Oryzias latipes: one gene and its partners. The protein of the gene in region 1 binds, or shares a complex with, the protein of each later gene. Links are inferred from orthologs where the notes say so. Each region holds a gene or a part of one and is shown in the gene's direction. Other genes may lie near its edges.

The links.
Region 2: the proteins of snap29 (region 1) and vesicle-associated membrane protein 8-like are in contact, whole or in part, in a crystal structure (PDB 4WY4), measured with the Homo sapiens proteins. The link is inferred for Oryzias latipes from reciprocal best matches to the Homo sapiens genes SNAP29 and VAMP8. Residues at the interface, in NP_004773.1 of Homo sapiens: Leu206, Leu209, Ser210, Leu213, Leu216, Lys217, Ala220, Leu221, Met223, Gln224, Ile227, Glu228, Gln230, Asp231, Leu234, Leu237, Thr238, Val241, Asp242, Leu244, Asp245, Ile248, Lys249, Thr251, Glu252, Val255, Arg256, Leu258; in NP_003752.2 of Homo sapiens: Leu16, Glu19, Val20, Val23, Ile26, Met27, Gln29, Asn30, Arg33, Ile34, Arg37, Asn40, Leu41, Leu44, Lys47, Thr48, Asp50, Leu51, Thr54, Ser55, His57, Phe58, Thr61, Ser62, Val65, Lys68, Phe69.
Region 3: the proteins of snap29 (region 1) and stx17 are in contact, whole or in part, in a crystal structure (PDB 4WY4), measured with the Homo sapiens proteins. The link is inferred for Oryzias latipes from reciprocal best matches to the Homo sapiens genes SNAP29 and STX17. Residues at the interface, in NP_004773.1 of Homo sapiens: Arg52, Thr56, Ser59, Thr60, Arg62, Ser63, Leu66, Glu69, Ser70, Val73, Gly74, Ser77, Glu80, Leu81, Gln84, Val87, Leu88, Thr91, Met94, Val95, Lys97, Met98, Asp101, Leu102, Ile104, Ser105, His108, Ile109, Ser111, Ile112; in NP_060389.2 of Homo sapiens: Glu170, Trp172, Glu173, Leu175, Glu176, Leu179, Ile180, Ser183, Val186, Thr187, Phe189, Ser190, Val193, Asn194, Gln196, Gln197, Ile200, Ile203, Ala204, Val207, Asn208, Ala210, Ala211, Val214, Glu215, Thr218, Leu221, Gly222, Ala224, Ala225.

What each region holds. Positions count from the first base shown.
Region 1 is NC_019867.2:6,082,408-6,086,685, forward strand, and holds the end of snap29 (synaptosomal-associated protein 29), read left to right. Parts: intron 1-73; coding exon 74-267; intron 268-1,419; coding exon 1,420-1,505; intron 1,506-1,581; coding exon 1,582-1,686; intron 1,687-2,708; coding exon 2,709-2,866; 3' UTR 2,867-3,476; downstream 3,477-4,278. UniProt on the Homo sapiens protein: SNAREs, soluble N-ethylmaleimide-sensitive factor-attachment protein receptors, are essential proteins for fusion of cellular membranes.
Region 2 is NC_019867.2:25,800,275-25,804,686, reverse strand, and holds the end of vesicle-associated membrane protein 8-like, read left to right. Parts: intron 1-1,422; coding exon 1,423-1,608; 3' UTR 1,609-3,265; downstream 3,266-4,412. UniProt on the Homo sapiens protein: SNAREs, soluble N-ethylmaleimide-sensitive factor-attachment protein receptors, are essential proteins for fusion of cellular membranes.
Region 3 is NC_019874.2:17,622,545-17,627,814, forward strand, and holds the start of stx17 (syntaxin-17), read left to right. Parts: upstream 1-2,135; 5' UTR 2,136-2,584; intron 2,585-3,929; 5' UTR 3,930-4,017; coding exon 4,018-4,140; intron 4,141-4,229; coding exon 4,230-4,295; intron 4,296-5,270. UniProt on the Homo sapiens protein: SNAREs, soluble N-ethylmaleimide-sensitive factor-attachment protein receptors, are essential proteins for fusion of cellular membranes.

The sequences.
Region 1 (4,278 bases):
AAATGCAGACATCATTTCTGAATGTTTCTGAGAGAGCGGCAGTTTGAGAAACCTGGTTCATCTTCCTTCATAGGAGCTGGTACGTCAGGGTGAGGTTCTAAAGAGGACCGACAAGATGTTGGACAACATGGATCAGGACCTCAAGACCAGCCAAAAACATATCAACAGCATCAAGAGTGTATGGGGAGGACTTGTCAATTATTTTAAGAGCAAACCAGAGACAAAGCCGCCAGCTGAGGAGCCAACGACCTACCAGGCCAATGAAAGGTACGCTTTACTTATTTCTTCTTTAGATTAGAAGTGCTTGTTGACTGTCATCATTTTACAGTTAACATTAATTGAAATCCAGAATCTTTTTAAATATTCTTACCTTACTTATTTAACATTGGTTTCAGCTTCTTATAAACACAACTTTCCTTTTCAGAGAATCCAACATGTCATTTACGTGTTTGGTGATTATTTTTACTCACTTCTAACACCTTTCAGGCTCAATCTTGTCCTACATTTACAGGAATAATATTCAAAACCCCCAAGACAAGAGAGTGATCTCTGTCTCAAATTTTAGTCTGTTTTTAAAAGTCTTAAATCAGTTTTGGGGGGAAAAGATTGACAATTCTGAAAAAAAATGCTTACAAAAAAAGCTTTATATTTCGAATAAAAAAATATTGTTTTGTAAAGTTAACTAATTAAAAATACATTTAATTTTTTTTCAATTTCTTAATTTTTTAAAGAAACTTTTGAATAAAAAAAAAGTTATCTGAAAGGCAGCCCACTTTTTTTAGAATGTTTTATTCACACTGATAGTTTCACATTGAAACAGTTTCACATTGACACCTGGGAGCTGCAAAGTGAAACTACTGTTGCTCCTGGGAGCTCTGAGTAGGAGTTAAGAGCCTTGCTCAAGGGCATTTTATTTTGTACACTGTGTTACCAAGACTACATTTGATTAAACCGAATCTGCTTTTGGAAAACTTACCATATTTGTTCATTACACCAGAATGCACAAAACATTTTCAAAAGCCAGAGTGGACTTGTTTTATTTTTACTCTGTACATCTTGTCTGTTCTTTAAGGAAGGTGCTTTCACTTCTTCCTACACACGTCCTTAAATATCAGCACAGCTACAGACGAATCCATGTAGAGAGCCCAACAGAAACATTATCAAACAAACCGCCTCTCACAACTGTTTACAAAGCAGTCATATACTCTGGATGGATGTAAAATATAACAATAAACAACAATAAAGTCACAAAAACAGTCACCTTGAGCTAGTATGCAAAAATGCAAGCTCTCCATAAATGTGAGCCAATGCTAGGTCAGATAAAATACCTCCTACTATGATATGATACTATTTTCTACTGTCTATATGAACGGTTTTGAATTATATACATGAATACTTTTTCTGTGGGTTATTTTTTAGGTTACAGAGCGCTCTGTCCAACAGCAGAGAATATGAAGACAAGTATCAAGCCAGCCACCCCAACCTGAGGAAACTGGAAACATCAGGTAAGGATGAACATGAAAATGTCAATGTTCAAACGTGTCACAGTACATCCTACATACTTGTGATCTTCGCTTCCAGGTTTTGGAGCTTCTTCCTCAGTAGATGGGGGTTTACCTAGACAGAATGGATACCCTAAGAACCAACACCTCAGAGAGGCTCATCAGACCCTTGACAAAAACTTGGGTAAGAAATCTAACAGGACACTTTGTATTTCGGTTATAGGGTTGAGTAATTTCTTAAAATGACATTTAAACTTCCTTTTAAATAAGAATGCTTGATCAACACGATGTGGTCTGCCTGAAAGGGCCTGGCTGGTCTCATTTGCAAGGGAACCCTGGTGTGGTTCATTACACTATGAATGCAACATAACACACTTTGTAGTCAGAGTTTCTTTCAGACAACACTGCACCCAAACAAGCAGCTGTTGCTGCATGATTTTTTGAGAGGCCTATGCAAAATCTATTTTTTGAGCTTTAAGTATATTATAATGTTCATTCCTTATGAAAAGAAACCCCAAACCGGTATTCTGATCCATTCAAGCATTTCTAAGTATTCCTCTAAAAAACGTTTCTCTGAGCACCAGCCCCTCCTTATCCACAAAAACGAGTGGGTTATCACAAGCTGACGAAGACCAGTGAGAGCTGCACCTTACAGGAGGAGTCTGGAGAAATGCAGACACGCTAGCGAGGCCGACTATAGGTTGATGTCATGAAATTTGCGGCACCCACAAGGAGCGAAAGGTGGTGCCTCAGAGACTGAGTCAATTTACTTCCAACTTGGAAAATTAACTTGCGAAAATAACTCGTATTTAATAAAAAAAAAATTGTTATTTTGTGTGCCAAAGGTAAAATATTATCATATTCGTGGGATATTGTTTACTATTAAAGTCTTAAAAATAGCATGGTATATGCCATTTACACAAGTGTTATATGTGCACATTCAAACAGTCCACCTTAAGAGATGTTCGTATTAGCAAATGACTGCAAACCTTACTAAACAGGGTAAACGCTGCAAAGAATAAAAAGGCTAAATTTACCCCAAAATTGATATATTTGTCATATAGTCTTAAAGTAAATGTAATGAGGTAATGGGGGTTAAAAGTGATTTTACACAGTGATGAATTGTGGGATATGTTCAGTTTTTTTGTTGAAAAAAATGTGGTTGAAATGTGACTTCTTTAACCACATCTGCTGTGATTGATTTAGATGAAATGTGTGGAGGCTTGCAAAGACTGAAGAACCTCGGACTTGGACTCCAGTCGGAAATTGACAGCCAGGACGACTCTATTGGTTCACTTCTAAGCAAAGTGGACATGATGGATGGGAAGATCAGTAACACAAACCAACAGCTTAAAAAGCTGTAGGACCCACACTCTGACATTTCCACGTCTGACCCTTCATTTCAGTTCAATTTACTGTCTTTTTTTTTTTGTCTTTGGAAAATCTTCTTTCACTCCTTTTTTTAATTTTTACAATAGATTTTCTTCATCACCAAGTTTTTGTCATTCAAAATAAAATGTGAAATATTTTACAGATAAAAAGGAAACCATCTGTTGAAAAAAAAGACTTGTTGTTATTTAATTTTTTAAAGATGTTCCTGATGTAAGGACAGATCCGGATCTGACCCCAGTTGATGTATAAAAAGAAAAACAAGCAGTAAACAAGCTCAAGTCACGTTTGCCTTACACGTACTTTCTTTGGTTTTGATTCACAGTTACATTTCATTTGATAAATTGTTCTATAAAACACCTCTTAAATATCAAATAAATATCTCAAATATTTTAGTTTTGATTGTAAACATAAGAGATGAAGGAAAACTTGCACCATTGGAATACAATGATTATTTCTCTGATTTTTCTTTTCTTTTTTTCTTCAGACAAATAAATCACAGTACTAAATTGGCCAAAATTCCTACATAAGTTCATGTTTGTGTGTAATCAAGCACAGATATCCAATAAAAGCTTAATCAAGGAACTTCCATGTGTTCTGCGAATACTTTTTTGACTAAAGTTAAAAAAAACTTTTGTGTTGATGGATTAGTGAGGTCAAATTACCACTAGGTGGCACTGTGGTTCAGGATTAAAAACTAAATGACCATCGTAAAAATCCTGGTTTGGTATTATTTATATTAAATGGCAAATTTCCCCAATAATTATAGTATAAAACGCAAAATTAGAAGAAAATTATTAGAAGGAAACAAATGTGTTTTAACTATTAATACCGGTAATTGTAATATCAAGGGGCATATTTCAAACCAACATCTGTGCTGCTTTTTGTTTTTAGTCAAATGAGCATCCGATGATGTGTGAGCGTTTAGTGTGATGAGCGCCTTCTGCTCATGTCCTCACGCAGAGATGATGTCCATTCATTATCATTCCTCTGCGTCAAACCAGCTGCTCATGCAGCCGCAACAAGCAGTCTTTAGCATGACTTGGTAATTACAGTTCAGGCTTCTTTGAAGGACATTTGAGTTGGGGGCGCGACAGAAAGGAAGATGGGGGTACCCGCTACCAGGGGCCCCTTGAGGCCCCCCGGGCATGTCTACACGAGTACGCTTTTTGTTATGCCTAATGGTTTTTCTGTTACACGTGTGATGGATAAGCATAGTAACTTGCTATTTAAAGAGTTTCTAAGCACAGTAAATTATACTTTTTATGAATTGAAACCCTTTTAAAGACAAAATTAGTTCAAAAAATTATTTTCTTTTTTGGTGGACCATTTGTTTGTTACTCTTTTGCCTGAATTCTGTGCTTTATGAAAGATCCTATTTGGACAC
Region 2 (4,412 bases), about 20 Mb from region 1:
GGAGAAAAACTGTAAGAAAAAGTGTCTCCGCCTCAGACGTCTCACCACACGGGTACACTGGGCTCCTCACCTTGAAAGCTTTGATTTTACTGAAGCAGGTACAGCACAGGTGGAGCTGATGGCTTCGCCCGTTTCTCATTTCACTGTGTGTCCATTTCAATCAGCTATAAATATAGGTGCAAATAATAACATTCAGTCATTAGTCTTTTTGTGAGGCTGGGATGTTTTTCTAGTGATCTATGAACTTGTCTGCTGTAGAAAGACTTCAAGCTAAGCTGATGCATGTTCTGCTACATTTTTTTTTTATTATAAACAAAACTTCATGAGGTAGTTGATATAATAAATTAGCCTTACTGACGAGCCTTAAGGTAGATTTGCATCAAATTGGGAGAGTCTGTGAATATCATGAATCCAGACATGCAGACGTGATTATTGGTGCTTTTGTAGAACCCTTCATAAAGAATAACTTGACCTCTCAACATGTCCGTGTCTTCCAAGCATTTGCTGCATTTGGGGTTTGTAGATAAGCAGTCAAGGCTTCCATGTATTGATGAGGCTAAAAAGGTTTGACGGTAGCTCCTCCCACATGCATCGGGAGCACCAAGTCTAAGCGTGAAGCAGAGGATTTGCCGTTTGTCAAACAGCAGGCAGCAGACGGGAGTTTCGCGTTCGGTGTGAACGCAGCATTAGTCACTACCCTTGACGATATTTCAATCTCCTCAAACCATGCGCACTGCGTAGGGAGCCGGTTAGCGCTGGTCAAGTGATAAGTGGACGCTCCCCGCGTTTAGCCTGACTGTTCGAAATGAGAACATTAGATGCACCTCACTTCTGACTAGATTGCTACGTGAAGGGTTAAAGGGTTAAACCAGGCTGAACTTTGACCAATCAGGGAGTCAGATTTGGTAGAGGCGAATGGAAGACATCTTTGTCATTCAAGGAAGTGTCAACCATTTGAACATTGAGCATGGAGGAGAAATGAATAACTGTGATTTGTGCCCAGATGGAATTCTTTGACTTCAAGTCTTTTATATATTGGAATGAAACTGTGAAAGAATTCTGCTAACTATAGGTGGTGGACATGTGCTGGTAAACAGCACAGGTTCGCTAGTCCAGTGTGAACACCAAGGGCTTAAGATGTATACGTAGCTTGAGACTGGAATTGGGAAAGTAGTTGCTTATTTTCCTCTCTAGCAGTAAATTCTCTCAGGAATCTGATGTTATTTCTTTAGTTTAATCCTAGAATATTGATGGTGCCTGTTCGTCAAAGTGATCTCCATGCATGAGTCGTTCCTTCTTTTAGCTGCTGTCTTCCATCTGTCACATGACCCCACCACCCTAGTTTGAGGTCTTGTACCCGATCCATCAGAAGCATTCCCCTCCTGACTGGCTTTCTTCTCTTCTCCCCCCTCCCTCGCACAGGCTCAGCACTTCAAGCACACGGCACAGAAAGTCGCCCGCTCTTACTGGTGGAAGAACGTCAAGCTGGTGGTGGTGCTGGTGGTCATCGTCCTCGTCATCATCCTCATCATCGTGCTGCTGGCCACCGGCGTCATTCCCACCGGAAACCCCGTGCCTCCCATCGTCACCCCCACCACCAAACCCTGAGCCCACAGCAACACTCGGATAGCTGATACATGGATGAAGCACACACATCCCAGTTGCACACTGTAATGTACAGACTCTTGAAAATTACTCTCCTATGAAGAAATATTTGACACTTTAGTTTCCTCTTAATCCGGTTCTTCTTTGATATCAGCTGCTTGTCACCTTCATCATGTGATAAAGGAGCGTCTCCTAGTTATTTATAGAAGTGAAACGCCTCCTGTTGGCCACGTCAATATTGCATGCAATGTCCAATTATCTAAGACTATTTTATTTTATTTTTTCTGTTACAAACTTCTGTACAAGTTGATCTGTATTAAATTGATAAATATATCTGACGCTGGGCTGAATCGCACATTAGAAGTAAATGTTACCAGTTATATCAGTCATGTTTGTTTTATCCAAAATCCACTACTTTTTTCTCTCTGCTCATCGTTTTTGGAAACGTGGCTACAGAAACAAAGCCCTGGAGTTTGTTACACTCAGATGGTACTTTTCCAACCTTTTGAAGGGGTCAGTGGTGCATTCAGGGCTGAAAGCGCTGAAAGGCAGAATCGTGCAGAAGTGTTTTGTCATTGGATGAGATGTTTACACAAGGTTGTACAATTTGGTATGGTTCTTCATTGCTGTTTTCTTTGATTTTTCTTTCTCTGCCGGTCCCTCTGCCGTTCATGTTACAACACGAAGCCCTTCCTTTGCGGCTTCATGTAGTAAAACCAAAGCCAGCATGAGGATGATGAGAGGCTTTTCCAGCCTATCAGCTGAGAGAAGCCATTTAGATCATGTGCCTTTCGCCCCCTTCTGGTCTAGTCATGCCAGTCACTGCTGGAAAAAGTCAATTTCAACGTATTCTTACTCCCAGGATGCAAGTTTGTGTTTCTCGTCCCGCAGCATTGATTTATGCTTCTACTTAACTGTAAATAGCTGACATTTTCTCCAGGTTCCATAACTAATCAGTGTCTTAATCAAAGTGTTTCTTGAAAAATGTAATGGTTTATTTTTTGCATCAAATCAATTAATATTTTTGTCAGTTTGAGCAGATAATTTACATAGAAATTAATGGTAAAATATTACAGAAGAAATGTTTGTATGTGTTTAGTTTCTTCTGTACGTGCGTCTCTGATAAAGCTGGGCCTCCGGGCCTCCTGGTCGCCGGGCCTCCTGGTCGCCGGGCCTCCTGGTCGCCGGGCCTCCTGGTCGCCGGGCCTCCTGGTCGCCGGGCCTCCTGGTCGCCGGGGCTCCTGGTCGCCGGGCCTCCTGGTCGCCGGGGCTCCTGGTCGCCGGGGCTCCTGGTCGCCGGGGCTCCTGGTCGCCGGGGCTCCTGGTCGCCGGGGCTCCTGGTCGCCGGGGCTCCTGGTCGCCGGGGCTCCTGGTCGCCGGGGCTCCTGGTCGCCGGGGCTCCTGGTCGCCGGGGCTCCTGGTCGCCGGGGCTCCTGGTCGCCGGGGCTCCTGGTCGCCGGGGCTCCTGGTCGCCTGATCTGCAGTCTTTCTCTATTGCATGAGATCTTCCTCTCTTCCCTTCTAGTCTGTTTAAGCTATTTACGACTGCTGCTGTGGTAAGGCGTCATTCTGTCAAGTTTATCTCTTATAGAATTGTCCAGACTTTCTGGTATTTAATGGTTTTATTGGTGGATTCAATAAATAGTATTTATGTCATTCATCCTGTGTCGGTGAGCTTTTCTTCTTTCTGCCTCAAAAGTGCTAAAAAATGCCCTGATTGGTTAATTTAAAAGATTTGAAAGTGAATTTATAAATGTCCAATAAAAGAATAAAGTTCACACCAGTGCTCTTCACTTTTTTCTTTTTGAAACAACTCTATGCAGTTGTAATAAGTTACCTTAAACAACATGTTTAACAAAAGAATAAAAGAACTTTATTTTGACATACATAAAGTTTTGTGATGCTCTAAAACAGGGGTTTACAACCTTTTATGCCAAAATAGCCACTTGGGTTTGTTTCCTAGTGACCAAAACGCAGCAAGAGCGAAAAAGTCACTTTATTATTCAGAAAAGTACATTTTATTTATGATTGTGTGACTATTAAACCATTCACTTAAAAAATGTAGCCTTTATATAATACTTTCTGTTAACATTTTCTATTGATAACAACTTTAGCTTCTACTTTTGACAGCAGCTCATACATGTTCCTTTCAAAATAAAATACGCCTTGTGTCAAATGAGATCCTCGCTGCAGCAGATTTACTTGCAGGTATATACTTTTAGTAACTTTGCCTATAAGCAGCAAGAAGACACTACTGTGCTGCTGAAGATAAGAATATGTATTTTAAAACTATTCCAATTATAACACCTCAGACAATCGATTAAACCTTTAACCATCTTTTTTATCTGACATCTGCATAAAATCTATGGAGTCCTATACTGTTCATAATTAAATAAATAAATATTTAATTCAATAAATAAATATGGCCTCATGAACAAACACAATCAACCAATAAATCTCTCATAAATATATAAAAAGATCATGAAATTGTGAAAAACCTGCACACTGATTTTAAATTAGCCATTGTATTATTCAATATATTTCATTTTGCTTTAAAAACGTGTTCATTATTTTAAAACAGCATTTTAAAAATATTCATTTTAATCATGTGGAATATATTATAATTTTACGTCTTTTTTCAGAACCTCGGATTTCAAAATCAATATTTTCCAAAGTAGCTTTGTTTTTATTTAATGTTGCTGTTTTTCACAATGGCTGATTTATTTCATGAAGAGCTTTTTCAGGAGAATGGGTCTGTCTGTCAATCAAACTAGACAAGGCGGAGACACTTTTGTGATTGGCTATTC
Region 3 (5,270 bases), on another chromosome or scaffold:
TATGTTTAGTAATACTTGTGCCTCTCTTTCTATGACAAGGTGTCTGCTATGAAATCTGTTTCCACATAGACATTAGAATGTACTTATGACACCTGCCACAAAAATAGGAAGAATCAGGAGGAGATTGGAGCTCCCTGCTGGTTTCCACTCCTGCTGTCAAACTTCCTGGATTAGTCTGAAGCAAATAACACCTGAGCACTCCTAGATCTGTGTACACGGGAGTATTTCTGTTCCATTAGAGGACATTACACTGACTTACATCCACTCATTTCCTGAAAACTTGGATTCCAGTCCTAAAGATTCAGTCTCCACCTGTTGATTCTCGTGATTGTGATGGAGTTCAGCTCAAAACAACGAAAACTCTCCGGCCATTTTTTAATAGTAAAACTGATAGGAGACACACGATGAAAAATATGTTTGATGCTATTGAAACTTTCGCTGTCAGTTTTGTTCCTCCCCCTCAGTCTGCAAGTCTGGGAGTCCCCTGAGAGTGGACAGAACACACACAGACACAGACTCACAACATGTGCTAGTACCTGGGGAAATCCCCTGTAACTGGGACTGTGCTTTTTGCTGTGGCCCCTCGTGTGGAGCATCCGCTGGGGGAAAAGAGTGTGTGGGGGTTGGCCTAAATGTCAAAGGTAAAAAGTGCTGAAGAAGATAAGTGGAAACATGGGACAGGCCCACTCACACAGAGTGATCTCAGACTAAAGGAGGGGGAACCCCGATTCTCTGTCTTCCTCGGTCTTCCTAAGTCAACACAGGCAAAAATATCTCACTTAATGAAATGTTCCACGGGAGTGATCAGCCACAGAGTAAACTGTGAGGCATGTTTGCTTTGAGTTTTTTTTCATAAAAATTACCTGGAGCTTTACATTGCTTGGTTTGTTTTTTTTTTTTACTGTCTGGTTGTCATGATAATGTCACATTTTAAAATGTCCCACAGTTTCATTTGTCATTTTCACATTTCATGTATCATAGGGCAACGATCCGCAGTTCGGAAATATTGTGTAAAACACTAAATGCAAAGACCCCACCCACCTCTGGCACCAAATGTTACCTAGCCACAAAACTTCTTGTACAATGAACTCTGTACATTTCTATAACTTTCCAAAAAATGTGTCAGGAAAGGTTTAAACATGTCTAATTAGGCAGCAGTGGCTCAGGTGGTTGAGTAGGTCGAGCAATGATCGAAGGAATTGGCGGTTCAATCCCCACTCTCCCAGTCAACTGTTGTTGTGTCCTTGGGCAGGAGACTTCACCTTCCCGCCTCTAGCGTGGCTCCACTGCTGTGTGAACGAGTATGAATGATGGTCAGAGGGGACGTGGGCACGTGTTCGTGTTGGCAGCAACACCTCTGTCAGTCCGCTACATTTGCAGCTTAACATCACCAAGTATGAATGAGGAGGGAATGATAAATAGATACACTGTGTAAGCATTTTGGGCGTCTGGAAAAGCACAGAAAAATTCAATCCATTATTATTAATTTTAACAGAGAGCATTATCACGCTTTTCCTAAAATAGCTGTAAATTTTTTAATATAGATAGATGTTGTCCTCAATATTACAACATCCATAATATTGCAGCTTTGTGAAAATAGCATATAATATGTTATAAAGATGAAAAATGTTTACAGACAAGCCAAGTTGTCCTTTCTGTGTGGATACATAATTGAGCCTATGGATTGAGGACAATTAGAGAAAATTGATTCTTAGCTTCTTCTTATTTTTTTGTAAAGGAAACTTTATTTTTAGGCATTGATAAAACAGCTTTCATAGTTGCTGCATAATTACAACACGGAATTTCTGTCCCCAATTTTTATATATATATATATATTGTTAATGCTCTCTTTTATATAATTATAAAAAACATATATATATATATATATATATATATATATATATATATATATATATATATATATATATATATATATATATATATATATATATATATATATATATATATATATTTATTTATTTATTTATTTATTTATTTATTTATTTATTTATTTATTTATATAAAAACTTTGAATTATTAGGGCACAGAAAGCTTTTACATTCTTAAATTTTTTCCCCCGAAGAAAATGAAAAGTTTTGAATGTGGGGAACAGATGTGTGCACTACTGCTGTTTGAGGTCGGAAACTTTTCGTAGATGCACTGGGAAGGATTTTGTTTACAAACAACTTGTCAGAAGAGCAAAAATCGACAAAGACCTTCAAACGTATTTCATTTATTTGCATAACTACATTTAAGATTTTTTGATGGGTCATTACGGTATTTAATAGATGAAAATCATATCGTCGACGGGTTTTGTTAATGGTAAGAAGAAGGAACCGCAATTATGTTAAGTTGCCTTACACAGCTGCTTGTTTTTTATTAATCTTATGACGTCATTTTTGCCTACATGCTACAGTATTGTTAATACTATAATACGTGATAGAAGCTTACTATTTTTTGTTGCCTTTTTGAATTGTCGGGTAAACTTTTCACGTACTGTGTGTCAGCAACTGTACTGTTAGTGAGTTAGCTGACGGTGATGCAATATCACTTCCTGTCTGAGACCAGCCCGAAGTAAACGGAGGTAATGGAATTATGTTTCGTTTATGAAAACATGTTTCGCTAAACGTAAAAATGTATTTTTAACTCGACCTGCACTAGGTGGGTCGCAAGCCGACATAATTCATAAAGACAACTATTGGGAAAGTGAGTTGTCAGAGTATCTCATGATTTCTAAACAAATGGACCTCTTCTTTATAAATTGGGTCTCGAACTATTCATATCATATGTATCTCAATAAATTCGAACATCTGGAATAATGGTTAATAAATTTTGCAGCCAATGAAAACCCATATTCAAATCTACATAAAATGTGAATATTTTTGAAAAGTTTCATATTAACCGCTGTGACTGTCACAGTCTTTATTGATAATTAATTTAAACACCTCAAAAGGTCTGTCAATCTAGATCAGTTGGTCATCTATCATTTGGAAGACTTTGAACTACACAGGTGTTCAGAAACTGATCACTGACACAGATCCTCTGCACAAGGAGATTCAAAGAGTGCTTTTTTCAAGCACACTGACTGTTAGTCAACTGGGGGAAAAAATGTTTAAAAAAAGATACGCAGATAAAATTTGGGAGGCATTCGGAAAGACTGGAAAGCTGCTAAAGTCAGTTCTTCACCAACTACGCACATCCAGGAAATGAGTTTGAACTACTGCATCTCTTGTGTCACACTACTCCTGAAACTGGAAAGTTATAGGTTTGGTATCCACAGTTGGGCCACACCAATGCCTAAAAATTGGGACCCAATGCCAATCAAGCTTGACGCTCAGCGTTTGATTCGACCCATCTTTGCAGTTCTACCTGACCTGTCAATTACAACTAATGTGACTTTAACTTTACCCAGACTATGGACAAAAAATGAAAGGTTGCTTACTGATTTAATTATATGTGTGAAATGAGAGGAACATTTATATCCATCCATTTACCTTCAAAACTTGCTGAATCCCTTTGGAAAGTCACAGGGTATTTATAGTTATTTTTTTCCAATGAATGTCTCAGAGTTTAGAAAAGGAAAGGCTCGAGATCAGAATCAGTTATTTAAGGTCTTAGAGTGTCTCCAGCCAGTGGTAGTTTGGGAAACATCAACAGCATTTTTGGTTCCTGCTACAAATCCTATGTATAAAATAGACCTACAGGAGTCACATAATATGACCAAACATACAAAAATGTGTATGTTCAACATTCAGCCTTTATTCTCTGTAACAGCTTTGACTTAGTTTTTGCTCAATGGATACAGGACAATGCCATGAGGAAAACCTCCCAAAGTTGAGTGTCAATGTCTCCACTATTATGCTTGTATCAACTCATTTATCCATTTGAATTGTACATTTACCAAAACCCTGCTCTCCTGGTATTTACAGTGTGTGGGCACGGTGAGAAAAAGCTGAGCAGGTGGAGAGTCTTGAGTTGCACAAAGGTGTTGGCTGTGGGCACTACGCAGCAGGACACATGGCAGAGGAAGGCAACAAGCTGACACTGAGGCGCCTGGAGGCTCCAATCCACAAGTTCATTAAAGTGGCTCTACCCACAGACCTGGAGCGGCTACAGAAACACCACAGTAACATACTTAAGGTGACGGCTGAAACCTGGTTGGACGTAGGATCACATCCAAAGCTCAGTTGTATAAGTGTTTGTTTTTTTCCCCCCCTTAATATTTACAGTACCAGCATAGCCAGCAATGGGATCGCCTCCATCAGGAGCATATTAATGCCAGCAGAACTGTTCAGGTACAACTAGTTTCTCTAAACTAATCAAAAACCGTATGTAAACATATGAAATAAAGGGTGGATGTTTACATTTTAAATTTCCCAGCATGCATGTCTGTACAGGTTTCCTGTTCATCTGTAAATTATCTTTGCCTTGAGATGACATTTTCTGATTTTCTTATGTTTTTCTCACTGAAAGATCAAAGGCTGGTGTCAGGCCAGCAAACTGGTACCTTTATCCATTAAGGTGCAAAAAGTATCCAAGAGAACAAATGAAGAGTCAATCATATGTCTTGGAAGTAATTTAAAGTCAAGACCGACACTCAAATGTCCTATAAAATATGTCACACAAGAAGAATCAAAATTAATGATGTTTGTCTGCAGTAAAATGCATTTGTCAAAAAATAAATGAATCAAGTAGTCCAGCGGTCTCAAAAGCTTTAGGATGTACCTTGTGCTGTTCATTAATAGGAGTTAGTCCAGCTGTCATGAACAGAGTTCAACAAAATATTTTAAGAATTAAATGCTAAAAGGTTTTAATTTAATCTCACATTTCACTCATTTTTAGAGTTACCCTACCATTTTTTCACATTTCCGTTTAGTTCAGGCACTTTTTTATTTTAAATTGAGGAGGAGTTTCCAACCATATAAATCTGTTGGGATGCAACCTTTTTGTGTAGAATTTAACTCAGTTATGCTTCGCAATTTCCAAGCTCATAAATGTATTTAATGTTCCATAAAATCGATCTCACTGTAGAAAACCTTTAGTTTGATATGGATATCTGTGCTCACAAATGCCCATATTCAAACATCAATTTGAATTGAATTGGACCACATTAACATGATTGCACTGGATCATTGAATGGTATTATTTTTAAGTTCATAAATCACTACACATAATGATGAACATGATGACAGACACACGCACACACATGCACACACACACACATTGCCTGTCAATGTGCTTGGGAAGTCAGAACATCCCAGAATTCTCAG